Linked DNA regions of Ovis aries. The protein of the gene in region 5 interacts with the protein of the main gene of each other region in a biochemical or structural test. Links are inferred from orthologs where the notes say so. Each region holds a gene or a part of one and is shown on either strand. Other genes may lie near its edges.

Region 1 (3,500 bases), on a different chromosome or scaffold from region 5:
ATGGGCTCTACAGTCTCCAGGGATGAAGCTGACAGGCTTGAGTTACTTGAGTGGCTCTGGACTGCCAGACCGTAGTATGACTTTCCTTTCTGAGCACTACACTTGTACAGAGTTAAACTTGAACATCGTCAGAAGAGAGGCTCCCAGGATGATAAAGATGTTCAAAAGTAAGTCACGTGAGGAACAGTGAAAGGAACCGGGGCTATTTTGCTCCGAGAAGGAGAAGTTCAAAAGAGGCACGAGGGCTGTCTTTGAGCAGCTGAGGGGCTGTCAAGTGGAGAAGGCTTTAGTTCAGAATGACCTTGAGGGCAGAACTGGAACTAATAGGCCGAAGCTACATGCTGACACATTTCAGCTCAATACAAGTGAGAACGCAAGCCGTCAGCTCTTGGTACAGGGAGCTGGGAGAGCTGCCTTAGCAGTTAGGGAGCAAGCTGTCACTGCAGGCCCTGCAGGCCATGCCGTGTGACGGCGGGCAGCCAGGCTGCATAGACCATCAAGGGCTGCCCCGGGTGTCAGACCAGCTGACTTCAAATTCGCTCCCAACATCGAAATCCTGTGGTTTCAGCTTCCATGTTCCTTACGAGAATCACTTGAAATGAGTGACGTAAAAGTGCTTTATAAACTCTAAAGCATTATTATTAATTTTTCTTCATCTTGTAAGATGTCAGTTCTAATTGCCATTTTCTCTATATCTCTGTTCTCTCGCTTCAAACCTGTAATGATTTTTAACTTATAAATGCCAAATTTCTTATTGTGATGACTACTATTCCCCATCTAGGATTTCAAATTTTCAAAATCTCTCCTAAATAATAAATGGTTCTTCATCTTTTATAAATGAGGGACAAGCCTTACATTCCACATGCTAAACCTGGGCCTGATCTTATTGTGTGTAAGGATAGAGTAGCTAAGTTCTCACACATCACTTAGGGGCAGAGCTCCTTATAATCAATAGCTCACTGAAATCTGTGCAACAAAAAGTTTCCACATTAGTAAATAAACAATAAACAAACACATTAATAAATAAACTTCAGTCTACACTGACAGAATTTGAGTTGGGTCCTTTATCCAGAGTGCTCTCTGGGATCTCATGAACTCACCGGGAGTAATAATCTGTTATTTGATGGCATAGCTAACTTTTCACAAGGTATTTGGACTTGGAAAAGTTACTTGCCAGATAAATGAAAGCCCCAATCCTCTTTTGGGTCTTATTTTTTCCACCCAACTCCAATGTCATCTCTAACAAGTAATGACTTGAAAACTTTGAAATATCATTTCTTTTCTGTCTTCTCCACCCTTCAAAGGATTTAACAGAAAGTGACATAAGCAGAAGTGGGCTGAGAGGAAAAAACTAGAATCAGGAAGACAGCAAACTGGATACAGATTCTCCTCAAAAGTAGTTACCTAATGTACAAAGCAACTCCCTCATCCACACATGTGTTCTCCAAACCATTTATCTATTTGAGCAGAAAAGGAGGCTGGAATTTATACAGAGCATTAGAGAGACGGTAAGGTCGCAAAGAGTCGGACAGACCTGAATGATTAGCGCAACACACACACAAAGCTTAGATGAGAATACAGAGAGTTTTTGATTCACTTCTCTTTGGATGCTAAGTATCATTGAGAAGGAAACATATTTTTAAAAGAAGCCTTTATGGACTTCCCTGGTGGTCCAGAGGCTAAGGCTCTGCACTCCCAACGGAAGTAGCAAGGGTTCAACCCTTGGTGAGATAACTAGATCCCACATGTCGCAACTACAGATCCCGTGTGCCATAACTAAGACCCGGCACAGCCAAATAAATACATAAATATTAAAAAAATAAATTAGGTAAGTGTTTATATTCTGTCTTCTAACGCTTTTTGGTACTCAGAATCTGTTCTGAGGTTTAAATTTTCATACAGGTTACACTTCATCACATGAAGATGAGGTTTGTGAAGAAAAACTACTATATATGTTTGCATACTATGATTAGGGCTTCCCTCGTGGCTCAGCTGGCAAAGAATCTGCCTGCAATGCAGGAGACCTGGGTTCATTCCCTGCGTTGGGAAGATTCCCCTTGAGAAGGGAATGGCTACCCACTCCAGTATTCTGGCCTGGAGAATCCCATGGACTGTATAGTCCATGGGGTTGCAAAGAGTTGAACACGACTGAGCAACTTTCACTTTTCATACTAGGATTAACAGTATAGAAAACTCTAAGGATGAGTACTGGAGGAAACCCCTACAAGTTGCTATGAAAAGTCAGGAAGAGGCAGGAATAAATGGGGTCACAAATCTTTGGCTCATCTCCTTGCATGCCTCCAGCATTCTCTATTCCATCTTTGTGCAGAGGTTGCTGAAAAAGTAAGAAAATGCAGCTGGTCTTCACTGACCCAACATATCGTGTGGTTTGCCTCATATTAATCTATGCTTGAAGAACAAGCCCTGGATCGAACACTTGGACAGCAGTAGATCTAACGGGGGTCTCCTAGCGTTGAATAGATGATCATAACTGTTTAGCATTAAAGAGGAGGAAATTCAAGGCCACGATATTCAATGTGTTTGCTATGTTTGCATTCATGTAGACACAAGTAGAATATTCTTTTCTTAGAGCAAAAGGTGGATCTTTGAGAAACATGAGCTTCACCAATGATAAATCTCCGGTTCCCCATGGCTAGGACATACCTTGATTCCCATAGCTGCTTTCTATTCCAGAGCCATCCCATGAATCCACGGCACTGTCCACGCTGGGCACAGTGGAGGGGTATGTGTCACTGAGTTTGCTTGGCTTCTGTGCTGGAGATGGGTCCTCCACATCTCCCAGGTCACTCAAGTGGCTGGCAACAGGGAATTTCTTGGGACTTGATGCTGATTGGGCTTTAAGGAAAAGAGCTTAAGTATCAGAGTAAATATAAATACAAAGATATGCCAACACCCCCTGGCTGAAGAGTCATTTCCCCAGAAATACACACGTAGATATTTGCACATTCTTTTAGGGAAGGAAATGCACTGGAAATCCTTAATTGTGGCTCTTGATCCACTCACCATCTGTCTGCTTCTTAATTTTCAAGGTGACAGTCTCTCCCGCCATCTGTAACAAATGGATGGCTTCACTCAGAGGCTTCCCCTTTAAGCTGCTGCTGTTGATGGCTAGGATCCGGTCTCCTATGTGGATCGCACCAGTTCTGAAACACCAAATAACAATAGGAAAGGCAGAAATAATCCCTGAATGCTACTGAATGCAAATTCCCTGACATGCTTCATATATCCACAACAGTAAAGACTTGGCAAGGGTCTCTCGATGCCACTCCTTGCTGTCTCCTGGGCAATGTTATAAGATGACTGCTTCTGTTGTGAATTACTTTTCAGTTTCAAATACAGTTAAAAAAAATGTTTTAATTAGTTTTTAAAAAAGACTTGTGTGTTTTTAAATTCCAAGAAAGTAGAGTTAGCTGATAACACTCTGCAAAATCCCAAGGAAACAAACAATATTGGTCAGTCAACATAGTGATGTTTAACAT
Region 2 (4,296 bases), on a different chromosome or scaffold from region 5:
CGCTCACCTTGTCACAGTGGTCTAGAACTGAACCTGCAGGATCTCTGGGCTCTGCCAGTACGTCCACTCCTGCCCTTCAGAACCCGCTGCTGGGGATTCCTGTACCCACCCTACCCTTGTGTCAAGGTTCAGAGGTTACCTCCTCTTTGAAGCCTTGCTGATCACCCTGGGATCCTGACAGCCCACTTTTCTCATGAAACATATCACACTGGGATCCAAACTGCTACTGGCCTGTTTGTCTTCCCCTGTGAGCTCTCAGAGAACAGAGATTTTGTCAAATTCCTGGTCACTTTTATCTACCAGCACCCGGCCTACAGCAAGAATGCAGTAAATGCGGTGAAGAGATCTGTCCCCTGTAACTGTCAGTGTCTTCCGGAGCTGGAAGAAGCTACTCACTCAACTCCCCCAGACTCCCGGCACCAAAGCCTTCCCGCTGCCCTTCAGCCCCTGACCTTGTTCTTACGTCCGTCGATCTCAAAGAAGGAGATGGTGCCCTTGCGGTAGATCTCATTGCCAGGAGGATGTCGCAGGTCACACTTGGTCTGAGGAAGAGAGGAGGATCAGGCACAGGGGCGGAGGTGAGGGGGTGCTGCTAGGAGGGTGGCCCCTGGGACTCCCCATACCAAGTGACGCTGCAGACACTTGAGGCTTCGGCCATACTTGAGGCAGAACTCGCAGAGGTAGAGGACGGGCAGCGCGGTGAGCTCCTGAGGGTACGGGGAGAAGTACCAGGGCTTGAGGCGGTGCCGGCCCAGCTCGATGCACTCGATGTTCTTCATCCGGGTGACGATGTCGTCGTGGCTCCGGTCAGATACCAGGCTCCCAGTCATGCGAGGAGCGGACGGGATTCCATCTGAGCTGTCCTGGGAGTCCTTCCCAGGGCCCGTGAAAGATACCAGGTTACAGAAGACAACGCAAGCAGCACACTCCACAGCTCACAGCCCTTCCACAGGTTTCCTAACAGCAACCCTCCTAGGGGAGGTACTGCAATCCCCACTTGCCAACTGAAGAAACCAAGACTTGGATGATTTTCACCTGGAAGGTGATAAAGATCACCTAGTGCAGGATCTGAATCAGTTCCGCCTCACCCCTAATTCCAACACCCTTTCTGCCCAGTACCCCTTGTTCATTTTTAAAGTAGTCACTAAACCCCGTGCCCTCCTTATGTCCCCTTCGTTTCACCCTTCCCTCCTCCCCAGACCTACCTCATCAGTGCCCAAACAATTTGATTTCCGCTTCCGCCCGGGCTGAGCTGCCACTGCCCTCCGGGCTGATCCATTCTGCAAATGATAGTGGAGGGACAGAAAGAGTGGCTGTGAGGTGAGCCCAAAGGGGCTATCAGAGGGTAGGAGGGCAGAAGAGATGGCTTGGGGGACTCACCTGGGGGAAAACTGAGGCCGGGGCTGTCTCGCTGGGCACTGGAGTTGCTGGTGAAACCACCTCCACCTTCCGTTTCTGCAGAGAGAAACCAGGACAGGTGGGTCAGAAGGTAGAGAAGGTGGGACCTGAGAGGAAAGCAAGGTCCCTGGAATTGCTGAGGGTACCGTTGAGCGGTGGTTGGGCTGCAGGCAGGAGCTGGAGGAGAGCGGCTGGTCGGGCTCGCCACCGGGAATGGCCTCCCGCTCCTTGGGCAGGTTGAAGCGGAGTGTGATCTGAACCGGGATTGGCAAAGTCTTCCCGCTGGCCTGGGCGGAGGCCGGCTGTAGAGATAGGTCCAGGGTCTTCCTCTGGGGCTGGGATGGTGGTGGGATGGGGAAGGGGAGTAGGGTCCCCTCGGCATGGAGTGATCAAACCCCACCCTCTGCCCTCTCAAGGACACAGGTACAGTCACTGGACTCTGGAAGCTACATCTGCAGTCTGGGCCCCATCCTTTACAAGCTGAAGCCAGGGTGGGAGGGCACAGCCTGTCGCCCATCTGGGAGCCACTGAGGCCAAGAGATTTTAAAAGTAGGCAGGAGAGAAGAGGTGAAGCAGGGGACCTACTCACCACCTCTCTCTCTGGAGAGCCGGGTCGGGACCCAGGAAGTCCGTTCTTAGTGGGGGTCTTGGCCTCTTTCTTGGGGAACTGGATCTTCTTCAGGTCCAGCCGCTCGTGGGTCACCCATTCATCCAGGCGTTTGTTGACTGCAGCAGTGGGTATGGCTCAGGAAGGAGTGCCAGAGGCTGCCCCCCAACCCTCCAGCCCCACCTCATCCCGGCCCAGAACTCACAATCAATGTAATGGACGTAGAAAAGCTTCCGGCCACTGATGTCCTTCACGCTCAGAATCTCAGCGAGTGCTGTGGGAACAGCAAAGGCAAGGGCCTTAGACTGGCCAGGCCATGAAGCTCCACCCTCCTACGATCTGAACTCCACCACCAGGCCCGAACCCTAAAGCCCCAGCACTTGGAACCGCTCTCAAAAGCCCCGGTTAGTCACCAAGTGCCATCCCCTCTTCAAGCCCTGCCCTGACCAGCTCTAAAGGCTAAAAGCCACGCCCCTCCTGAGTATCTGCGCCCCGCCCGCTCCAGGATTCTAGAGGCCCCACCCCCTCCCCGGGGTTCGGTTGACTCTCCCCCCGCCCCTCGCCCTCAGGTTCCTTAGCCCCGCCCCCCGACGTCACTCACGCCACTCATCTTCGTTGTCCTGGTTCCGCCGCAGCACAGGCAGGCGGCAGCCCTCGATTATCTCCCCCTGGGGAGACAGCGCGGCGCCAGGGTCGGCTACTGGGGGGCCTCGGGCTCTACCCACCTCCCCTGGCTCCCTCCGCCCCGCCCCGGGCACCGGACTCACCACCTCCGCCATCTTCCCTCCCTCCACTGCCACTTCCGGCCCCTCTGGGAGCCGTCACTTCCGGGACTGAGCACGTTGTAGGCCCCGTCTTCCCCGAAGCGGCTTTACTAGTAGGTTCTTAAGAGACACCGCCGCCCAGCTTGCTGACGGAGCCGGCCAGTTTGGCTGGCAGGGGCATAGGGTGTTTTAAGGCTCAGGTCAGGTCCTGGATGGAATCCCCACAACGTGTGCAACGATTGGAGGAAAACTGAGTCAGTCACGTGACGCTCACCGGGTGCGACGCCGGTCACGTGGGATTGGTGTTTGTGCCTAGCGGGCGGCCGCTTGGCCGTCTCCTAGTGGCGTCAAGGCTGCGTCACGGGGAGTGAGCTGCGTGTGCTCGGCTGGGGGGTTGAGGGGCGGATTTCGAAAAGTGGGCACCAGGACCCCCGCAAGTTGTGGACTTTCCTAGGGTTGGGGGTCCACGGAAGAAGGTTTATAGGTTTGTTTTGTATGTTAGGTTGCTAATTATACGAGTTGTTATTGTTCAGACGTCTAAGTCGTGTCGACTGTTTGTGACTCCCGTGAACTGCCAGGCTCCTCTGTCTTTCCCTATCTCCCGGAGTTTGCGTAAACTCATGTCCATTGAGTCAGTGATGCTCTCCAACCATTTCATCCTCTGCCCTCCCCTTTTCTTGCCCTCAGACTTTCCCAGCATCAGTGTCTTTTCTTCGCATCAGGTGGCCAAAGTATCGGGGTTTTCATGTTCACCGTCAGTCCTTCCCATGAATAGTCAGAGATGATTTCTTTTAGAATTGATTAATACATTCAACAACTGTTTAATAATCTGTTACCGTGTCCCAGGCATTTTATCTAGGAGCCTGGGATACATCAATGAATAAAATAACTTGCAGCTCCTGGAGCTTGAATTCTTGGAGGCTGAGAGGGAAAAGAGGGGTGTGGATCACAAACAGTAAATATATTTTAAAAATAAATTATCTAGTCTATTAAAGAGTGATAAGTGTTTTGGGAAACAGCAACAACGAAATACACAAGGTGCAGGGAATGACCAGGTAGGCAAACTAGCCTGCAGGGCAAATCCAACCCTATTCTAGCTTTCCTGCTCAGTGGGCAAAGAATGGTCTTCACACTCTTTTTAAAGCTTGGGGAGACATAAATAGAATATTTCATGATACATGGAAATTCTGAAATTCAAATTTCAGGGTCCATAAATTATGTTTTATTGAAACATAGCCACCATCTCATTCACTGACATTTTGTCTATGACATCTTCCACGTTAAAGCTGAATGCCCACAAAGCCTAAAACATTTACTGTCTGGCCATTTACAAAAAATGTTTGCCAACCCATGCTTTACCTTCTATTGTGCTATCAAACAGGGTGTCCCTGGTAGCTAAGTGGAAAGAATCTGGCTGCAATGCAGAAGACACAGGCTCAGTCCCTGGGTGGGGAAGATCCCTTGCAGGAGGAAATGGCAACCCACTCCAGCATTCTTGCCTGGAGAAATCCATGGACAGAGGAGCCT
Region 3 (3,500 bases), on a different chromosome or scaffold from region 5:
ACTGAAGAACCTTGCAGTGTTAATCCTAGATTACTGAGAGGAATAAATATTGCCAAAGAAATATTATTCCCATACAGATTGATAGTAGTAAAGAATTTAACTTAGAAAGAGCTACTGGAAAAATCAGATAACCAAAGAGTTTACTAATTTTGAATTCACGAAAAATACAGGTTGCTAATATAAATTATTTTTTGATTTATAAGATTCAAGAAGAAAGTGAATATGATATAGTTTTATAGTACCACCAAAGGCATACTGTAAGAAGACTGAGAGAAAGGTAGTGGGTTGGCCAAAAAGTTCATCCAGTTTTTTTCCAGGTGTTATGGAAAAACACAAACAAACTTTTTGGCCAATCCAATAGATGGTTTTATTTTAAACATTTATGTTTAATTAACTAAAGCTCCCCTATTCTCTTCTGTAATTCTAGTAATTTACTTGAATTAACCCGCTTTTATACTTCTTAGTCATTATTTTCTGGTAATAAATGTCTCTGGATTTCACTTTTGTGATTAAAGGCAGAAAATCCAGTTTAGTCAATATTCCTTTTTTATCAAAGCCAAAAATATGACTTAACACTTAGCTTTAGGAAACGAAATATAAATTAATTGCCCTTCCCACTGTGATCTTGCAAAAGACTCATCTTTACCAAAAGGGTAACTGATTGAAAAGGTCTAGTCATCTTAGTATGAGGTTTTAAGCTGCTAAGGATGATAAAGAGCCTTTAAAAGAAAGGCACTTGCACAAAAAAAAAACATTTCTATTTGAGAGACAGAAGGGAGTCTCCGTAAGTAGTTTTCATTCCTAAAACACATATAGCCTCTCTGGTTCCCCAGCAGTCATTATAAGCCTGACATGCTTTGTAGAGTTGTAGTGTGGTAGCAATGGCTAATTCTCAGGCTCTGAATGGCACAATCCCCTCTGAGACTGTACAGACTTAGGAGACATATATCATTTGACTGCAATATATGAACCTTGTTTGGCCCCTTATTTGAACAAATTGTAAAAAAAAAAAATTATTTTGAGATAATCAGGGAAATCTGGACGCTGTCTGAATATGTGAGAATATGAAGGAAGCATTAGTTTTTTCCAGGTGTGCTAATCGTATTGTATGGTCACAAAAAACAGAAAACAAAAACCAAAAACCTGTCCTTATTTTTTCAAGGTACACAGTGAAATACTTAAAGTGAACTTGCTTTAAAATAATCAAGAGGTAATGGGAAGAACATGAATGAATGCAAGATAGATGATGAGCTGAAAATCTGAAGCATGGGGAATTTCATTATACTGTTCTTATACATGCTCAAAAATTTCCATCAAAAAAGGTGTTCACATAGAAATAAATGAGTAAGATTTCAGACAAGACTATCACAACCTACTTTAGATCCTGCTGACTATTCTTCTTCTTCCGAGGGGGCTTCTTCTTCTTCGGTTTATTTGCGTTGCTATTGTTTTGCTTATTGTTTACCCCGAAATGGCCCGCAGAGATATCACTCTGCAACAAGTTGACCAACAATGGGCTCGTCAGCGTGACATCCTTATTGACCGGGAAGCCTGGATTCTGACCACAGGACATCTGATTTCCATTGGGTGCTCCATTGAAAGGTGCATTGAAGGGCATCCCATGGCCTGAGAAGTGGTTTCCCGAGGCACTGTTCCCCTGCATGGCCTGCACGTGGGGGGGGACCATGTTGCTTTGCTGCATGCTAACATCTGGCATCATCTGAGACAAGCTGACATCATTATTTGCTGTCGTAGCAGGATCACCATGCTGCTGGGCCATGTGGGGGCTGGGCCCTGGTGGCCGCAAGACCTGCCCCTGCATCCCCATAACCTGAGACGGACTGCTGTTCACGGGCCCTTGCTGTGGCAGCATCTGTCCTGACATAGGTCCTGTAAACTGCACCATGTTTCCTTGCAAGTTTGGCGTTGGTCCCCTCATTATCTGTGCTGGTCCCGGCATGACATTAGACTGGTTCTGAGTGTTAAACTGTTGCTTATTCCCCTGCATCTGATTGGTCATGATCTGCTCTATCATTGGATTCTGTTGGAGCAAAACTTGCCCCTGAGGCCCCATCATCTGGTTATGTGGTGCCATCATTTGGGGGCCCTGCTGGGGAAGCATCTGCTTGGGTGGGGTCATCCTTTGGGGTGAGGGCCCAAGATTTTGGCTCTGAGGATTCACCATCATCTGACCCTGTGGCATAAGCTGGGCCCTTGAAAGGATCATGGGGTTCTGAGGGTTCAAGGTTCCTTGTTGCTGGACCATCTGGCCCTGGGAGGGCACGATCTGCTGGTGCATGCTCATCAGTTGAGATGGTGGGCCCTGCTGGGGCTGGCCTTGCATGTTGCCCAGGTTCACTTGAGGAACCCCAGAACTACCAGCCTGTTGGTTGTTCATGTTGCCATGAATTCCCATGAGGCTGGGCTGCATCATATTTGGTGGCCCGTGGGACACCTGCATCTGGTTTTGAGGAGGACCAGCTCCTTGACCACCTGAAAAAAAAAAAAGGCACAGTTTCAGAAAGAAATACTATTATCTTCTTGGTATTAAGATTCTCAAATTACCTTAATTAGAAAAACACCCCTCACCCATATCCAGTGATTAGCATAAACAGATGTGTTATGCTTAACATATTTCTGTGAGTTTTCTATAGTATAAGGCTGTGACTGTGGCATACATTCTCAGTGACCATACAATAGAGAAAAAGAAACCATTTCTTTATTCCTATTTGGTAACTTGATAACATTTTGAAGATCAATATAGTTTTCTTTCTCTTAGACTAAACAAAGAGAAAGGTAGCATCTCATTATTTAAAAATAACTTGTAACTACCTTAAAATGAAGAAAATTAATGAAAAGTGTTATGGGATAATGAAATAAGCTCTACTTTAGATGAGACAGGAAACAAAAAATGTGCTGCAGCCTCTTAAGAAAACCTCAGCAAAGTTGAGAAGATGTTTAACAATGCTCCTTGGGAAACTATATTCAGACTCTCCAAGGTTATGGATGTGTTATCTGGATACTGCACTTTAAAGAAAAGAACAGCTAATACTTCCTAAAGATAGGTCTCCTCCACCCCAATGTGGTAAAAATTATTTAATCTTGATCTGGAAGCTGAGCCTCTGGTGGAAGTCAACTGACAGACAATTAAGAAGCTGCAGACAGAGGACAGACAATAAAGGATGATAAAGCTTCAGTGACCCTCTCCTGCAGCAATCCCTAGGAGACCACATGGGACATGTTTTAGTCTTAATTGTTTCCAGTTCAGACAAAGAGCACTTCCTGGTTTGCCACAGTGTATACTTACTGTTAGGTCTTTGGGGTTTTCCTATAGCTGCTTATATTCTCTCTTCCTTTCTGCAGAATAAACTTCTAGCTTATTTTATCTCCTCCCCACCCTTTTCATTTTGAAATGAGGACTAAAAAGTGATAGCCACAATGAAATCATCAAGCCAGTCCATGTTCCAGCCAGGAGGTGAGAGACAAACTGTCCTTTGTTC
Region 4 (3,977 bases), on a different chromosome or scaffold from region 5:
TGGCCTGCAGCACGCCAGGTCTCCTGTCCATCACCAACTCCTGGAGTTTATTCAAACTCATGTCCATTGGGTCGGTGATGCCACAGGGGAAGTGAATGATCCCACACGACAGAGATTCCCGGAAACTTTCAATTTGGAAATGGGCTGCTTCATTTTCCTTATTGGTGACTCTCAGTGAGGTGAGAGGGAGGCTGGGGCAGAAGCAGAGGGAGGGATCAGCAGGGGATTTGAGGAACAGGGAGGGATACTCCTACCCCTTGATATAAGGGCAAGGATGTGTGGGGTCCTGAACTGATACTAACTCCTGGATCAGATCCATGTAAAATAAATCTCACTGCCAGAAATGAAATCAGCATCCCACCCTGAAAAATCAAAACTCCAGTTTCCTGAGTTCTGGCTTGTGTGTCACTTGTAGCTCCTTCCTCTTGGGCTCCTCTGGCGGGCCGGGGGACTCTGGAGATGAACCAGTCCCTTCCACGTGTACAAACTACACTGTCAGGTTCCAAGGGTGTCACACCTTTTATTACAAAAGCCAATAACTTAAGTCAGTTCCGTACAAAGTCAGTAGAACTCCTGGCCCAACAGCGGACACTTCTACCCTGCCCCAGGAGGGGAGAGGAGTCTTGGCCCAGAGGCTCTGGAACCACCAAGGGCTGGCCAGACAGCTGGAGCACTGTGTCCAAACTGAGGAGGGTCAAGGTGGGATGTGGCTGAGTGAGGGCCCACCTGATTGGGCTGGAGCCAGCTGCTCTGGGGAAGCCTCTGGGAGCACTGGGTCACCCAGGGGACAGCCCGGCCAAATCAGCGCTGCCAGCCTCCACCCAGGCCCTGCTTGGGCTGGAGCAGGTCAGCTCAGCAGAAGCATGTCTTCAAGGAGGTCCGCGATGTCAACGTCTCCAATGACGGGGCGAAGGAAGAGATCTCCAAGCAGGCTGGGTGGAATGGACTTGAGGGTGGAGGCCATGAGGAGGACACGCGCCAGGCGGCTTTGGCCTGCTGGGCACCAGGGCTCCAGGACCTCCCACAGTGCCTGGTGCGCCTCCTGCTGCAGGTGCCCGATGTGGGAGGAGGCGTAGAGACCTGGCACTTCTGCGGACAGAGAAGGCAAAGATGGCTGCTGAGTGGCCTACTCCAATACCACAGGGCAAGACTGGCCCAAGACCCAAGGCCACCAGCTTGGCGCCTTTGAGTCCCCATCACTACCTCCTTCATTTATTTATTTTTCACTTCATTTATCCATCCTTCATGGAGACGCAGGATAGAGCCATGGGTAAGACCCTGGGGGGCCTGGCTTTTAATCCCACACTGTCACTTATTAGCTGTGTGCCCTTGGGGAAATTTACTCAATCTCTGTGCCTTGGGTTCCTCGTTGATAAAACTGGGACAAATAATAGTACCCATCTCCTAGGCTTGTTATGAGGTTTAAATGAGCTAGTGTATATAAAACCTTTAGAACTCGACCTAACATACAGTAAATGTAATGCGAGTGTTTGCTATTACTATAATGAATTACTCTGATCATGCATTCCTTGGGGGCATTTTGATGATTTCTCATCTAAGCGCCTTTCAGATCACAAAGAAGTCTTCCTCTATTTGTTGTCCTGGCTGAAATTTACGAAGACTCCTCCCTCTTCCCCCTCCCCACCCCCATTTTCATTTCTCTTCTCTACGTGGTCTTTCTGAAACCGCAGTTTCATCTTCAGAACTTCTCCATGCAGTCTGCTCATGAAGGCGTGACCGAGGCATAGTCTGCCCACCCTCCCCTCCCCTTCTGCCCTAAGGGTCAGGGAAATTTCTTAGCAGAGCAGTAAGGACTAGATTTTGACATCAGTAGACCTGAGTCCCCATTCTTTCTCTTCCCCCACCTGGCTATGTGACTTTTCGCAAGTCGCTTTGCCTCTCTGAGCTTGTTTTGCAAGATGGCTATTTGGAGATAATCAGGACCCAGAGGGATTTCAGTTGTTAAGTCCTTAGAATGCGTCTTTCCCTGGCTGAGCCCTGCCCCCCTCCAGCCTTGGCCCTCATCCAGGAGTGTCTGGGATCTCACCAGGGTTGAAGAGGACAGTCCCTTTCAGGTAGGCATACTCCTTGGGGCCCAGCTCCAGACTCCAGAAGGACTCCAGGCAGCACTGTAGCCACTGCACCTCAGCTAGCGAGGGCTGGGGCCGATCGGGCCGCTGGCTGCTGCCTGCCCCGCTGCTGGGCTTCTCCAGCAGGATCTTCTTGAGTATGCTAGGCATCGGGACCTCGGCCACCTGGAAGGTCACAGTGTCTTGGGCCAACCCCAGCAGGAAGAGGGGCCCCCAGCAGCCCCGCAGCAGCTGCCGCCGATCCTGGGAGGGCAGCTGGCAGAAAGACGGCAGGTTCCTGAGGAAGGCCAGCGTCTTGGCCAGAACATCCAAGGCCTCCTGGCAGGTGCGATGGGGCGTACACAGCTGAACAGGCCGGTGCTGCCTGCACAGGCAGCGGCCGCGGGCTGGGGCCACGGAGGGCCAGTCCCTGACGCTGGGGCTCAGAAGTGTATACAGAATGGTCGGGCGGCCTGCAGCACCCTGGCACGGGCAGGACCCTGGCTGGCTGGAGCTCATGGTCGAGGATCTGCTTTGCCTTCCTGCTGGCTCTCCCACCCTCGGCTTGGTGCTGTGGGTGCTATTTATATCCCCAAATGGGGGAGGGAGGGGGGAACCGCCCAACAACCTTGACTCCAAAAGTCATGTTCATTGAAAAAAAAAAAAAGAAACTCACACTGACCCTGGCAGGACCCAGGGGGAAGTGGTGGGGGAGGGAGACTTGGGAGCTCCACGTGGCCCCGATATCACTTCAGTCAATGAAGCAGCGGGTGCAGGGCACAGGGCCGCCTGCCCGCTGGCCCCGCTGCCCTTTATCAGATGATTCAAGTGGATAAACAGGGTCATTAACCCAGGCTGTACCAGGGCACCAAGGCCTCAGGTGCACAATCAGCAGGTGGCCGTGGCAGGTGTCCCCATTGGTGCCTGCAGGACTCGCGCTCAGCAGGGGAGCCAGCCCCAGAGCCGACGAGCCTTGAACGCAGGGCCCAACCTGGAAGCGCCTTATCACTTGCTTGTTTGCCTAACCTTGAGGCCCTGCTCCTGTTGTTAGTAAGGAACAGGCTGCAGGGAAGGGAGCCAGGATCCTGGGGGTGCTGGGAGGACTTTGCCTGGCTGTGCAGTCTGGAGGAAGGCCCCCTTCCTCTAACCCCAAGTTCTGGGTGGCGGAGAGGCCTGCAAAAATAAGGTCCTTAAGAACTCTCTCTCCCCAGCCTGGACCTCTTGAAGGGCCCTTGTCTGCTGAGAAGCCCTGGCAGAATGATGATGAAATACTACTGTTTATTGAGCACCTACTATGCGCCAGGCACTTTCCACTCTAATATTCAGAGCTTCCTTCTGAGGCAAAATGCTTGCTTTTTGAGACTCAAAGAAGTCAAGTGACTTGTCCAAGTTCACATCACTAAAAAGAGACAGAGCCTAGATCAGTCTGACTCCAAAATCCTTGCTTGTACCCCTGGACCCACTGGCCCAGTTGTGCAGCCAGAGCTGGTGACGACCTGGGCCCCCACCTCACTGTTGTAGACGTTGCCCACTTACGATCTGGACAGAAACGTTGCTCGGCCGCCAGCTGCATGGCTCCTCTGTCCCCAGGCAGCTGTCTCGGATGCTGGGGCCTGGGCAGTGAATGCTGGTGGCAAGGTCCTTGGCTATGTCAGGTTTGTGGACCTTGGCAAGGCCAGCTTGGCAAGCCTTCTGCTGACACACTGTTGGGCAACTGTCGCCACCCCTGACATCCTCTCCTGGCTCTCTGTCTTCCTAGTTGTGTGACTGTGGGCTGAACCCCAAATCTCTGCGGGCCTCAGAGCTTCACTCAGAATAGTGCCTGCCTGCAGGGCTATGCTGTGAGGACAAAGTGGTGTCAAATTCCAAGCAGTTTCTGGCATACTGGAGGAGGACTTTGCTCCCCCC
Region 5 (3,500 bases):
GGCGTACTCGGTGATCTCCTGCACGGCTTCCACGGAGCGAAACTGACACCCCTGGAAGATGCGGATGGCCACCTCTTTGCTGGGCTCCTGCAGGGGGCTGATGTGCTTGAACTTGATTTTATCTTCTCCCATCATTAAGGAGTTCATGTCATAGATAACAAACGGCTGCAAAGAAAAATGGGAGAAAGTGGCTGAGTTGGAAATTTCTCATTCACGGTCAATACCATCCCAGCTTCTTCACAGACACTTGCTTTGCTAACGAAAATCTTTCAAGTTGAAAACACTGAACAATGAGAAAATACTCATGTCTTGATTAATCCTCCAAGCTGTCTTCTGGAACCAAACATATTTCACCAACACTGGTGATATGATACCACAACCGGTGACTCGCTAGTAGCTCCAATTCCTGTTGTTTGGAAGGTCTTTGTTGTTGATTTAAACAATGATGCAAAAATCTACTGTTTCATTCTAGCTTTCAATGGGATACATTTTTAACCTTCTTTCAATAAAAACAATTATTTTAGCAACTTAGGGTTGAATAGACCCACTTGGACATAAAGTAATCTTGCAGTTTTAGATTAAATCCTCTCAGAGCTTAAATGAAACATAATGTATATGTAAACTATACTTAACTACAGAAAAATCAGTCTGAAAGCAGACTGAAAACACTGAGTCAAGAAAATGTCTGTTTCTCTCTTTCCTCTTTTTTTTTTTTAATGCTCTGGAAGCAATCTGTTTCAGAAAGAGCAGCTGCATAAGGCCTATGGGCAAACACTACAAAAGTGGCAAATTAAAAAAAGGTTGGAACTTATTTTTCAAAGTATATGTCCTTAAGGGTCAAGAATCAATAAAACTCGTTTATCAGTTATTCAGGTTTGCAATAGGCTACTAGCAAAAGCCTGCTGGGTTTGTCCACGAAATAATCTTTCTCTTTCATTTCCTTGTATAGATTTAACCAGAGGTTTGTGGTCCTTGTGAAATTCTCAAGGCTACTCTGAATAAGTGACCACAATTATATATACACACACACACGTATATACCTACTGAACTCTGTAAGGAGCTACCCCTCAATGCTAGTCATGTGTTTTACTCAGAAGCAAGGAATAAGAGTTGAGGGTATCTGGCTTCCAGCTTTGGTCCTGTGGTTAACTCTGTGACTTTAGAAAAGTCATTTATCTTTCCTAGCCCTCGAATTTCTCATTTGAAGTGGATTGCAAAGATTTCCAACTCTTCTCTTAAGGATATGCTAGTTGCATTTCTTGGAAATAGTGTCTGTGATATGTGTGTGTGTGTGTGTGTGTGTGTGTGTGTGTGTATCTGTGTGAGTGTGCACATACACACACATGTCCACTGAATATGAAGTCTCTGATGTACTAAAAATAAAGCTTCTTTTGAAAAGCTTTATTGAGAGATAATGAGAATTCTCTCCTCTTTGGCAAGAGGAAGCAGACACAATGAGAGCCAGCAGTAGCCAGCTTCAAGACCCACTGGTTCAGACAGTCTAAACTATTAATCTCTACAGTAGTCTAAGATTGTTATCAAACTTTTTTGGGGAGGGGCATGCCACATGTCTTGCAGGATTTTAGTTCCCTGACCAGGGACTGAACCTGGGCCCAAGCAATGAAAGTACTAACCATTGGCCCACCAGGGAATTCCCTTCACCAAACTATTAAGTCTGTTCTGCACTGAAGGAAATAACACGAATTCTAAGGGGTTTTAGATGTTGAGTGGATTCCCAAACTTGCCTCTTATTTCAACAACATTCACTGGAGTTATTCCAGAAATTGTTACTTTTTTTAAACCAAAAAAAAAAAATCACTCCAATTGTATTGTTTAGCAAATACAAAACCACAAAGTAGGACAGATGAGAGGAACCCAAGAGTAAGCTCGCCTGGTGACTCTTCAGGCTTCAAGTAAGCCAAGAACGAATAGTTCATACTGCTTTGAGGCATTTTGCTTTTCTCTCTACTTCAGACCTATATTATTAATGGGAGGGAAAAAAAAAAAAAAAAAAGGACAGAGTAGATGGACAGTCTCTTCAGTTAACATGTGTTGAGTTTTTCCAGAATGCCAGATTCTGATGCTGACAAACACTAGCTTTAACAGAACCTAGAAGAAGGTGGTTTCTGATCTCAAAGAGTTTTGTGGCCCATTTTAATTTATGCTACCAAGAGGCTGGCTTTCTTTACTGCTATGAGAAATCTGAGGGCACCTGAAGAGTCCACCTGCACCTGTACAAACACAAATAACAAGGATATAAAGTCATCCCCTCTTCACGTGTGGAAGGACAGTACCTCATCTGCCCAGCTTCTGGATGACCTCAGTCCCTCAGCTTCTTGGCACAGAATGGATGCATAACATTCTCCCACCTCCATGTAAGCAATTTCTCTGGAACTCTGCCCTGATAAATCATCCTGTGACTCTTCCCCCTCGACTTCCCCTGTCCCCTCATATAAAGCCCCAGGTTCCTGTTTTTGAAACTCTGTGATAGTTGCACCGAACGCACAAAATCCTGCAAATTTTCTCTCCCAATTTAACAACAATGTGACTTGGTAACCCCTTGGCAATCGACGTTGGTCAGGATTTCCTGGCAGTAAACACTCAAGGACAGAGAAAGGAATCAGCAGCCCCCACCATCATGCCAAACCATTCCAGTTTTTTTCTTTTTTTTAAAAAAAGATCCCTTCAGCATTTTCAAAATGTTGAGTTGGCAGAGGATTCTGGGTATGGACATGCAAATGAATCCCAGGTGGGTTTCTTTGTTTTTCCTCGTCATAGCTGATGTTGCTGTTTTTTTTTGTTGTTGTTTTTTATTTTTTTTGCACTTTTGAAATCTGCATAAGATCCTTTCAGCTCCCGTGTGGATCTATCAAGCTGCAGGAGTGATCCAGATGTGATCTGCCTGGAGATCTGCCTTTCTTTGCCACCCATTCACCAATTACTAGACTGCAAACAGTTAACGCACACATTTTAAAAAAAATTAATGAATTAATTTATTTGGCTGCACTGGGTCTTAGTTGTGGCATGCAGGATCTCGTTCCCTGACCAGGGATTGAACCCAGGCCCCCTGCGCGGGGACTGCACAGTCTTAGCCACTGGACCAGCAGGGAAGTCCCAACCCACACACTTTACATTGGGATTCCTCATACAGAAACAGCAGAAGAGAGTGGCCCGCCAGGTTTACAGATGGCTGAACTCTGAAAACCACGAGGGGAATTCGGCCTGTGGAGTTTATCTTGAATCAGTGACTTAATATTATATTTCTGGTAAAACGTCCCACACAAAACGTCCTTCACTTGCACGGTCCTCTCTTTTCCACTAGCCTCCCCGGTATCATCGCGTGATCTGCCATTGTCAGAGGAACCATATCCTCTTTAGATTTGGTGTTAATGGTTTTACACTTCTAATTTGGGGCTAACAATGTATTTATCTTCAGACACTGTATCAAATGGCTAGATAAGCATCTCTCCTTAACAGGAAAGAATGCTTAACTACATCTA
Region 6 (4,269 bases), on a different chromosome or scaffold from region 5:
TGGGTAGATATAAGTTCTGATGGCTTTTCCATCCAGCCTCTTGAGTTTTGCAGTGGGTGCACTGGAACTCGTATTAATCTGAAAGGTATACATATCTAAATTTTAAAAGAAGGACCATGCTAGCATCAATGATGATTGTGTGTCGTTAATCAAAGATTATAATTAATCCACTCTGTCTTCCTGAAGACTGCCTCCTCAGAAAAAGTAAGGTGCCGTTTCTAATCCGGGGCAGCCACAGGAGAAACCGAAATGAGTGGGAGGGGTGGTAACTGTTTTCACTTTTCTCTTCCTGTTTTTTTTGAGCCTGGGAAAGCAAGTCAGAATTTCCAATCTTTTCCAATTCCCACACGATTCCCTAATTTAGAACGAACTTAGAGAAAATAAAAACCCTTCCTGCATCTGGGGAAGACTGCCGCCAGCCGTGGAGCATCCTCACTGTGGGATGAAAAATCCTCTCAGGGGCGGTGTGTGCTCCAGCCCGACCCCCAACCCGTTCGTACTTGCTTGTACGGGGTTAAACCTTGGGGGACGATACCCTCGGCGAGGAGTCACAGGACGGTTTATTAGTGGAAATTCTTTGGGAAACTTGGACCCCAGCAGGAAGCCATGGGAGGCAGGCGTGGGGAGGAGGGGCGGGTAAGGGAGTTCAAACGGAACAGAGGTGTCAGGTTGCAGAGACAAGCTCCAGAGATTTACCCCCGGGTGACTACCCCTCTCCACCCACTGGCCCCGAGGGTCGGCAGTGTGGAAGATCTTAAACCGACGAGCCTGCGGGTACTGCGCGAGCGGAAGCGGAGCGGAGCCTCTGATCACGCTGACGTGCAGCAGGCTCCGCGAAGGCCACGGTCCGAGTAGTGCCAGGTGGAGAGGTCCAGGCCACTTCTCTTTTTCCTCGTTGCATCCAGACTGGGGTGGACAGGAAATTAAAAAGTGCTTGTGCGGCAATAACCATCAAGAAGCACTCTTATTGACTAGGAAACCGTGAAGAGTTGAGCCACCTGGCCTTGGCGGGCGAAGCAGGCCGGAGCCTTTCCTGCGCGGGGCGGGCGGTCGAAGCCCGGCAGCCCTAGCTTGGCTCCAGACCGGCTCGGGGTGACATCACCAAACTCCTCCGATAGGCGGGAGGTGGCCCCCGAAATCCCCTAAAAACATAGTGAGTAATCGGAGGCCCCGCCCTCCAGGCGGGGCCCAGACTCGGGAGCGAGCCGAGCTGCCCCGCCAGCCCCGGGAGCGGCCTCCGGGAGAGCCGCCTGTCGGTGCCCCGCGCGGCGCGCACTAGCTCCGGGTCGCCGGCACAAGCAGCCTATCCACCCTGCACGCGGCCTGCCCATCCTCCGCGCAGCGCGCGTTCGCCCCTGAACCTCTCCCGGTGGCGGCGGCACCCGCAGCAGCGACGAGGGCGACGGAGACGCATCGCGCAGGCGCGGTCGGATTCCCGGCAGTGACGCGACGGCGGGCGCGCGCGGCGCATTTCCGCCTCTGGCGAATGGCTCGACAGTAGCGCGCGCCGCGGGCCCAGCTGCGACCCCGGCCCCGCCCCCGGGACCCCGGCCATGGACGGTGAGGGCGCCCCCTGACCCCGCGGGGTGGCGGCGCTGGGGCCGCGGGGATCGCGGCGGGAGGCCCCTCACCGCCTTCCGACCCTTCGTTCGCTGTTGGGCGCTGCGCAGGGAGCGGCCGGCCGGATGGTGGCGCGGGGCGGGGCGGGCATCGAGGGTTCTGACTCAGTTTCCCCCTGGGTGTGGGGTGTTGGGGGAAGCGTTAACTCAGTATCCCCCCGGGACCCGGGAGTGGGGCTTGGGCAGTTCCACCTTAGTTTCCTTGTTAGGGGAGAATGTATCTGACTCAGTTTCCTCTCGGGATGGGGGAGTGCCCTCCCTTAGTGTAACTTAAAACAGAAAAGGCCGTGACTCAGTTTCCCCTGGTGGAGGGAGGCGGCCATCTCTGGTTTCCCTCAGGAAAACGGTGCTTCTGGCTTCCTTACGCACACCCCAAGTTTCCCTGAAGGTTCCAGGTAGCAGGTCTGACTGAGTGTCCCCGAGAAGGAGCCTGGCTCCCTCTCCTCACCTCCGGGAAGCAGGCCTTCCCTGATGAGGACAGGATGTGGGCTCCTGCTGACCCTTGTCTCCCTCTCCTTTCAGACTTCTTCCCCATCATCTTCTCCGAAGGTAAGTGGCCCATCCTTTCTCAGTGGGTCGGGAGGAGCTCCCCAGGGTCAGGGGCGATGGGGTCAGTGGCTGATGGGCCTGGCCCGCGTGTCCCCTGCAGAGCCTGTGCAGGCCTCTGGCCCCTATGTGGAGATCATTGAGCAGCCCAAGCAGCGGGGCATGCGCTTCCGCTACAAGTGCGAGGGCCGCTCAGCCGGCAGCATCCCTGGCGAGAGGAGCACAGACACCACCAAGACCCACCCCACTATCAAGGTCAGCAGAGCCCCAGGGCGGGGGACCCAGAGTCAGTAGGGCTGGGACTTGCTTTCAGCCCCCACCCCCCCATCCCGAAATCTGTGTCTGGGAGTTGGGTCTGGAATTCCAGCCCTCTAGGGTGCTCTCTGTACTTTGGACAGATCAATGGCTACACGGGGCCAGGGACAGTCCGCATCTCCCTGGTCACCAAGGACCCTCCTCACCGGCCTCACCCTCACGAGCTAGTGGGGAAAGACTGCCGGGATGGCTTCTATGAGGCTGAGCTCTGCCCGGACCGCTGCATCCACAGGTGAGCTCCTTAGGGGTGGCAGGGGGTGGAAGAAGGTGGTGATGAGATGGGAATCGGAAAAGCAGGCAAGTTATATTGCTGTTACAATGTTAATCGTTTCTGGACAGAGGGCAGAATTCCTCACTGCTTGCTCCCTCTCCAGCTTTGCAAGCTGATTCTTTTGTTTTGAAATTGTCTGTGTGTCTCCTCTCTCCAGTGGATAGGAGGAGCACCCTGTGAGTTCTATGGCAAAGGTGTGGGTCCCTAATCACCCCTGAACCCCTAACCCCTGGGGCTGGAGTGTCACATCTCTTGTAGTCAGAATGAAAGCCATTGAACCAACGGTCTCCCCTGAAGCTTATGTACTGGTTGACAGAGGCAGACCATAAATAAATGTACAAATAACTGAACAAGATACTGTTAGAAATCACCATTTCAGTGATGAAAATGAAGCAGTAATAGGTTGGAAGAATAGCCTGAGGTGGCAGGGAGTGAAGGAGCTGGTCCCACTCCTTTGGGCTGGGACGTCAGAAAGGCTTCTCGAAAGTAAGACCTAAATGTGAGAAAGTAGAGAAGCAGGGAAGGAACATGCCCAGCAGAATGAACAGGTGCAAAAGGCTTTGAAATACGAATGAGTGTCATGTCTTTGGAGAGGGTAAAAGAAAGCCCTGGGGCAGAGGGTAGGGAGCTGGCAGGGACTGTGGCTGGGGCCAGGCGGCAGGGCACAGGGCCTTGTCAGCCAAAGTAAGGAGTCGCTTTCAGTGTGGCACAGTTGGGTGGGGTGGCATTTAAGGGGGTTAAGAATAGAATGATTACCTGGTGAGTGGGGGAGGGGATAAGGGGCAGAGTGGGTAAGGCAGGAGGGCCCAGGCTCTGCTGGAGACAGTGGAGCTTATGCCTCGGGGGGCCTCAGCTTTCAGAACCTGGGGATCCAGTGTGTAAAGAAGCGGGACTTGGAGCAGGCCATCAGCCAGCGCATCCAGACCAACAACAACCCCTTCCAAGGTGAGGGCGGCCACGGTGGAGGCTTGGGCCTGCCTGGAGCACCTCCAGCTGCTGTACCCTTCTGAGGCCACCTTCCCGTCACGTGTCCCTCACCGGCCAAGATGCGGTGCCCATTCATTACATACACCTGTTCAGTACATTCTACCATTGGAGAAACAGACTGAGAGCAGGGGTGTAGGGGACAGGACATTCAGGGTCACAGGTGGAGTCAGTGATGGGTCTAGAACATTCCCACCACCCTCTTCTAGGACTCCTGCTATTTCACACACCTTCCAACAGCCCTCCCAGCCCAGAGCTACCCGCACACCCTGCTCCGCCCCAGCCCCACCCCCAGCCCAGGCTCTCCTGACCATCGGTTTTTCTGACAGTTCCCATAGAAGAGCAGCGTGGGGACTACGACCTGAATGCCGTGCGGCTCTGCTTCCAGGTGACAGTGCGGGACCCGGCAGGCAGGCCCCTCCGCCTGGCGCCTGTCCTCTCTCATCCCATCTTTGACAACCGTGAGTGGTCAGGGAGCCGCATGAAGGGGAGGGGGGTGGGCCTGTGAGGAGGAAAGGAGAGGTGGGGAGGGGT
Region 7 (4,236 bases), on a different chromosome or scaffold from region 5:
GACCACATGTCGATGGACGTGGAGTACAGCTTGGCCCCAAAGAGGACATCGGGTGGGCGGTACCACAGCGTGACCACCTGGAGAAGAAGACCCCGCCCACAGGAACCCCCAGTTAGAGATGGAGGAGAGTGCCCAGACAGGAGTCCTGGAGGAGGAGCTGAGCGATGCTCGTTGGGGACCCCCTCCCTCGCTTCCCACATCCCACCCTCACCCCCACAGCTCACCTCAGCTGAGTAACAGCGAACGGGGATCCCAAAGGCGCGAGCCAAACCAAAATCAGCCAGTTTCAGCTCCCCGTTCTGGGGATCGAGGGGGGAGACAGGCATGGAGAGGGGCTCTTCACAGTCTGAGGGAAGGCCCCCTGCTCCCACCTTCCTGCCTGGCTTCCCTCACCCTGCCCCGGCCTCCCAGACGCCCTGCCCCCTCCCCAGAGGTACCCTGTTGATGAGCAGGTTCTGAGGCTTCAGGTCCCTGTGCAGCACATTTCGGCTGTGACAGAAGCCCAGGCCTTTCAGCAGCTGGAAGAGGAATGACTGGGGGCGGGGCAGGGAGGAGGTCATCAGACCCTCTGGATGGGACGTGCACCCTGCAGGGAATCACGGGCCCTGAAACCCCAGCCATCTTTCAGCACCAAGCTCAGGGCAACTCACCCCTTCACTACTGAGGACCTTCTTTGTACTCTGCTGGGTACTCGAAATGAACGCCGAATGGGGGAGCCCTGGTCCCCATCTTTCTGGAACTGGCAGCTTGGTGGGGCTTCCTGCCTTCCCATCCCACACTGCTGTCTGTCCCCTACCTGGCCTCAACTGAACATGGACATCATAACCATCCATGTGTATACTGTGCTGTGTTATTGTTTATCATTCTTAAGAGTCCCTTGGACAGCAAGGAGATCAAACCAGTCCATCCTAAAGGAAATCAACCCTGAATAGTCACTGGAAGGACTGAGGCTGAAGTTCCAATACTCTGGCCACCTGATGCAAAGAGCCAACTCATTGGAAAAGACCCTGATGCTGGGAAAGATGGAGGGCAGGAGGAGAAGGGGATGACAGAGGATGAGAGGGTTGGATGGCATCACTGACTCAATGGAATGAGTTTGAGTAAACTCCAGGAGATAGTGAAGGACGGGGAAGCCTGGTGTGCTGCAGTTGATGGGGTTGCAGAGAGTCAGACAGGACTGAGCAGCTGAACAACAGTCATCAAGCACTTATTTTCCTTGGAAACTTGGAAGGGCACTCGGGCCTAGAACAGTGCCTGGCACACAGCATTCAATAAGAATCTGTGGGATTAATGAATCTCTCTTGGAACCTCATTTTCCCACCTCTCAAATCCTATCACTGACATCAGACTTCCTTTCAGGTTAAAGCGGTCGCATGAAAATGATCACTAAGACGGAGGCTCCTAGAAGCAGAAACAGGGTTTTCTCCTCCCCTCGTTCCCTGAGTGTCTCCATGTGGGGCCTGGGAACATGTTCACTGAATACAGAGTCCAACTCCAGCCTCAACGAGCTCCCAGGAAACCGGTTTCCTTACCTTCACAATTTCAGGATCTAGGTCACCATTGCAGCTGTCGAAATACTTCTTAAGGTCCTGAAAAAGGAATGGGGGTGGGGGATGGGACAGAGATGAACCTCAGCTGGGGTCCCTGTATCCTCCCAAGACTACTGGCCCTCCAGCCCCCCTTTCACCTGGTCGCAGAACTCAAAAACCAAAGTCAGCTTCTTGTCGCTGTGCAGGACGTCATGGAGCCTGGGGAGAAGCGAGGGCTTGGGCAGGCAGGGCCACAGCCCGCACCTAAGAGCCCAATATCAGCCCAGCACATCTCTGAAGCCCCCACCTCCTCTGACCCAGCCCACCCACACACCTGACGATGTTCTTGTGCTTCAGCTCCTTGAGTAGGCAGATCTCCCGAAGGGCAGAACTCGGCACGCCCTACACGTTGGAGGGGCCAGGTGGCCACAGTCATATCCCACCCGGCCCAGGCCCCCAGCCCCTCCCTGGCCCTGGCGCCCAAGTCTTACCTCGTCATCGTCATCCAGCCTCACCCGTTTCAGAGCCACAATCTCATGAGTCTCCCGGTTTTTGGCCTTGAACACTGTTCCGTAGGTGCCTAGAAGAAGGAGGGGAGGCGTAGGGAAAGGATGGGGCACACTTTCCCAACTCAGGAAGCCCCTGCCGGGACAGCAAGCAGCATGGGAGTGTGTTATTGCTGATACTGGAGGAGCAAGGGAAGAGATGTGGGGTAAAGGTTGGGCACGGCAGAGAGCTCTGTGTGTGGTGATGTGGCAAAGAGGTGCCTGCAGATGGCTCAAGGGTGTCTCCAACAGGCAGAGGCTGCAGGGGCCAGGTGAGGAGGTCTATCACAAAGGCCGAGCTTCTGGGGTCTGAAACTAAGGAGCAGGGGTCTGGGAGAGGAATAAGGGCCGGCAGGAACGCAGAGGTTGGAGGTCTGCAGAGAGAACTGAGGCTGGGGGTGGGTGAGGTTGTGCAAGAGGTGCTGAGGATGGAGAGGAAATGCAGGACGTGTGGAGGTCGGGAGGTGGGTCACTGGGAGTGCTAAGGTGGGGAGGCAGGCGTCCATGAGAAACGCTAGCAGGGGGAGGACTGCTGTCTGCACGGAGTGTTGAGCTCGGGGGCCAGGGCTGCAGCCAGTGCTGAGGTCGGAATCTGTGGGTATTGCTGACGGTAGAGGAGCCAGGGCTGCAAGGAATGCTGAAGGGTCTGCAGAAGAAGATTTTGCAGGAGCATCTCGCGGTCCCATTACCTTCCCCAATCTTCTCCAGTTTCTCGTATTTCTGCATCCCGGCAGCCGCGCGAGGACCCTTGCGGGCCCTGGGTTCTGAGACTCCGGGCCCGGCGTTGCAGAGGAGGCGGTACCCCAGCCTCCGGGCCCTGCCCCGCCCTCCCGCCTGCGCATGGGCTTCTGGGGCTTGTAGTCCTAGGACGCCAGGTGTCCAAGTAGCGCCAGGGGCCGTAGGCAACAAGAAGACTACAATCCCCAGCAGGCTGCGCTCGGGCTCGCTGCAGCTCCTGCCTCCCGGGGACTCCGGTTCCACCGCGGAGGCCACCCTTGGACTTCAAGTTCCAGGAAGCTCTGCGTGTCCGCTTTCCCGGCTCCCCACAGTCGCGCGCGGCTCCCAGGATGCCCCGCTCGGGTATCCCTTTCAGTGATTACTCGCTTCTTTCGGAAAAGAGTCTCTCCGGGACTACATGTTCCAGAATGCAGCAGGGGTGGGGGCGGTGGTGGGGTGTGGTGGAGGGGCGCTTTCCAGAGTCTGGGCTTTGGCAGCCTGCCTCCCGAGCCCAGGTGGCCCTGGCTCTGCCTGGGTTGATGGTGTTGAGCTTCCAAGACCTCCTGACACTCCCATAACCGGTTCGAACCTCTCCCTGGGCCGTCCGGTGAGCTCAGGATTGCCTGGGGGATGGCTCTGAGCCATATCTTGCCGATGATGACTTCACAGGGGCCAGCTGCCCGCAAGGCTGGAAAGAGAGACAGGTGTGCCCCACTGGAGGTTGGATTCACCATACGCCAGAGACCTCTCTCTCCCCTTTTGTGGTCTCGGAACCCACCCGACTCCAGCAGTTCGCTCCACCCTGATATTCCGAGACAAGCTGGCGCACTGGGGAAGTGTACCCACCCTCTCCCACCCCACCTTACATAGCCCCGGCCCACTGGAGTTGGCCAAGGGTGTGGCCCGAGAGCTGGCAGGTTGGTTACCGCCCTCAACAGACAGGACAGACAGAAGCTACACTTGAAGCGGCCTTGACCTCATCCCTTAAGGAGTTGATTATAGATTTATCTTGTGGCTTCTCTCTAATTGTCTCATGATTGCATTCTTGAGGGCTGTGAACTGGATGAAAACTGCCCTCAAACAGCACTCCTCGGCGCCGCCGGAACCGACGTTGGGGCTTAAACAGTTTGTTAATTAACTCGTTTATGTCTGAACGTTTTCTGCGTACACAATGCTGTCCTTCCCTCGGTGGCAGACTCTCAGAAGCGAAACAGATTCGCTTATCTGGAAGACTTTATCATTTGAGAAAACAAGAAATAGATCTTTAAATGACAGGTGATGACTATGAATAGGGTTCGAGAAGGGAGGGCACGGCAGGGAATCTCTCCGAGGCAGAAGTCCCCCGGTTTGGAAAGACTTAAACTCGGCACAGAGTAATGGGTATCCACCCCGCGCCGCCATCACCGCTCTTCGACCCCACCCCCGTCCTCCTGGCAAAGATAGGG

The links.
Region 1: the proteins of PPARG (region 5) and GRIP1 form a complex in vitro, tested with the Homo sapiens proteins (2 studies listed by BioGRID). The link is inferred for Ovis aries from reciprocal best matches to the Homo sapiens genes PPARG and GRIP1.
Region 2: the proteins of PPARG (region 5) and KAT5 form a complex in vitro, tested with the Homo sapiens proteins (2 studies listed by BioGRID, with this or other methods). The link is inferred for Ovis aries from reciprocal best matches to the Homo sapiens genes PPARG and KAT5.
Region 3: the proteins of PPARG (region 5) and NCOA6 interact in a test that uses a peptide from one of them, tested with the Homo sapiens proteins (2 studies listed by BioGRID). The link is inferred for Ovis aries from reciprocal best matches to the Homo sapiens genes PPARG and NCOA6.
Region 4: the proteins of PPARG (region 5) and NR0B2 form a complex in vitro, tested with the Homo sapiens proteins (2 studies listed by BioGRID, with this or other methods). The link is inferred for Ovis aries from reciprocal best matches to the Homo sapiens genes PPARG and NR0B2.
Region 6: the proteins of PPARG (region 5) and RELA form a complex in vitro, tested with the Homo sapiens proteins (3 studies listed by BioGRID, with this or other methods). The link is inferred for Ovis aries from reciprocal best matches to the Homo sapiens genes PPARG and RELA.
Region 7: of the proteins of PPARG (region 5) and CDK5, one has a biochemical effect on the other in vitro, tested with the Homo sapiens proteins (3 studies listed by BioGRID, with this or other methods). The link is inferred for Ovis aries from reciprocal best matches to the Homo sapiens genes PPARG and CDK5.

Annotation. Positions count from the first base shown.
Region 1 is NC_056056.1:153,580,561-153,584,060, reverse strand, and holds part of GRIP1 (glutamate receptor-interacting protein 1), read right to left. Parts: intron 3,165-3,500; coding exon 3,025-3,164; intron 2,857-3,024; coding exon 2,665-2,856; intron 1-2,664. UniProt on the Homo sapiens protein: May play a role as a localized scaffold for the assembly of a multiprotein signaling complex and as mediator of the trafficking of its binding partners at specific subcellular location in neurons.
Region 2 is NC_056074.1:40,317,854-40,322,149, reverse strand, and holds the start of KAT5 (histone acetyltransferase KAT5), read right to left. Parts: upstream 2,801-4,296; 5' UTR 2,785-2,800; coding exon 2,607-2,784; intron 2,280-2,606; coding exon 2,211-2,279; intron 2,125-2,210; coding exon 1,988-2,124; intron 1,701-1,987; coding exon 1,545-1,700; intron 1,456-1,544; coding exon 1,381-1,455; intron 1,281-1,380; coding exon 1,206-1,280; intron 873-1,205; coding exon 624-872; intron 543-623; coding exon 453-542; intron 1-452. UniProt on the Homo sapiens protein: Catalytic subunit of the NuA4 histone acetyltransferase complex, a multiprotein complex involved in transcriptional activation of select genes principally by acetylation of nucleosomal histones H2A and H4.
Region 3 is NC_056066.1:64,076,406-64,079,905, forward strand, and holds part of NCOA6 (nuclear receptor coactivator 6), read right to left. Parts: intron 2,494-3,500; coding exon 1,377-2,493; intron 1-1,376. UniProt on the Homo sapiens protein: Nuclear receptor coactivator that directly binds nuclear receptors and stimulates the transcriptional activities in a hormone-dependent fashion. Coactivates expression in an agonist- and AF2-dependent manner.
Region 4 is NC_056055.1:240,027,629-240,031,605, reverse strand, and holds NR0B2 (nuclear receptor subfamily 0 group B member 2), read right to left. Parts: upstream 2,626-3,977; 5' UTR 2,589-2,625; coding exon 2,048-2,588; intron 1,090-2,047; coding exon 848-1,089; 3' UTR 501-847; downstream 1-500. UniProt on the Homo sapiens protein: Transcriptional regulator that acts as a negative regulator of receptor-dependent signaling pathways. Specifically inhibits transactivation of the nuclear receptor with which it interacts.
Region 5 is NC_056072.1:56,659,704-56,663,203, forward strand, and holds part of PPARG (peroxisome proliferator-activated receptor gamma), read right to left. Parts: intron 166-3,500; coding exon 1-165. UniProt on the Homo sapiens protein: Nuclear receptor that binds peroxisome proliferators such as hypolipidemic drugs and fatty acids.
Region 6 is NC_056074.1:40,279,507-40,283,775, reverse strand, and holds the start of RELA (transcription factor p65), read left to right. Parts: upstream 1-1,469; 5' UTR 1,470-1,553; coding exon 1,554-1,560; intron 1,561-2,141; coding exon 2,142-2,168; intron 2,169-2,268; coding exon 2,269-2,420; intron 2,421-2,563; coding exon 2,564-2,712; intron 2,713-3,604; coding exon 3,605-3,696; intron 3,697-4,064; coding exon 4,065-4,196; intron 4,197-4,269. UniProt on the Homo sapiens protein: NF-kappa-B is a pleiotropic transcription factor present in almost all cell types and is the endpoint of a series of signal transduction events that are initiated by a vast array of stimuli related to many biological processes such as inflammation, immunity, differentiation, cell growth, tumorigenesis and apoptosis.
Region 7 is NC_056057.1:115,249,377-115,253,612, forward strand, and holds the start of CDK5 (cyclin-dependent kinase 5), read right to left. Parts: upstream 2,801-4,236; coding exon 2,764-2,800; intron 2,110-2,763; coding exon 2,021-2,109; intron 1,932-2,020; coding exon 1,864-1,931; intron 1,749-1,863; coding exon 1,688-1,748; intron 1,590-1,687; coding exon 1,533-1,589; intron 534-1,532; coding exon 438-533; intron 300-437; coding exon 225-299; intron 78-224; coding exon 1-77. UniProt on the Homo sapiens protein: Proline-directed serine/threonine-protein kinase essential for neuronal cell cycle arrest and differentiation and may be involved in apoptotic cell death in neuronal diseases by triggering abortive cell cycle re-entry. Interacts with D1 and D3-type G1 cyclins.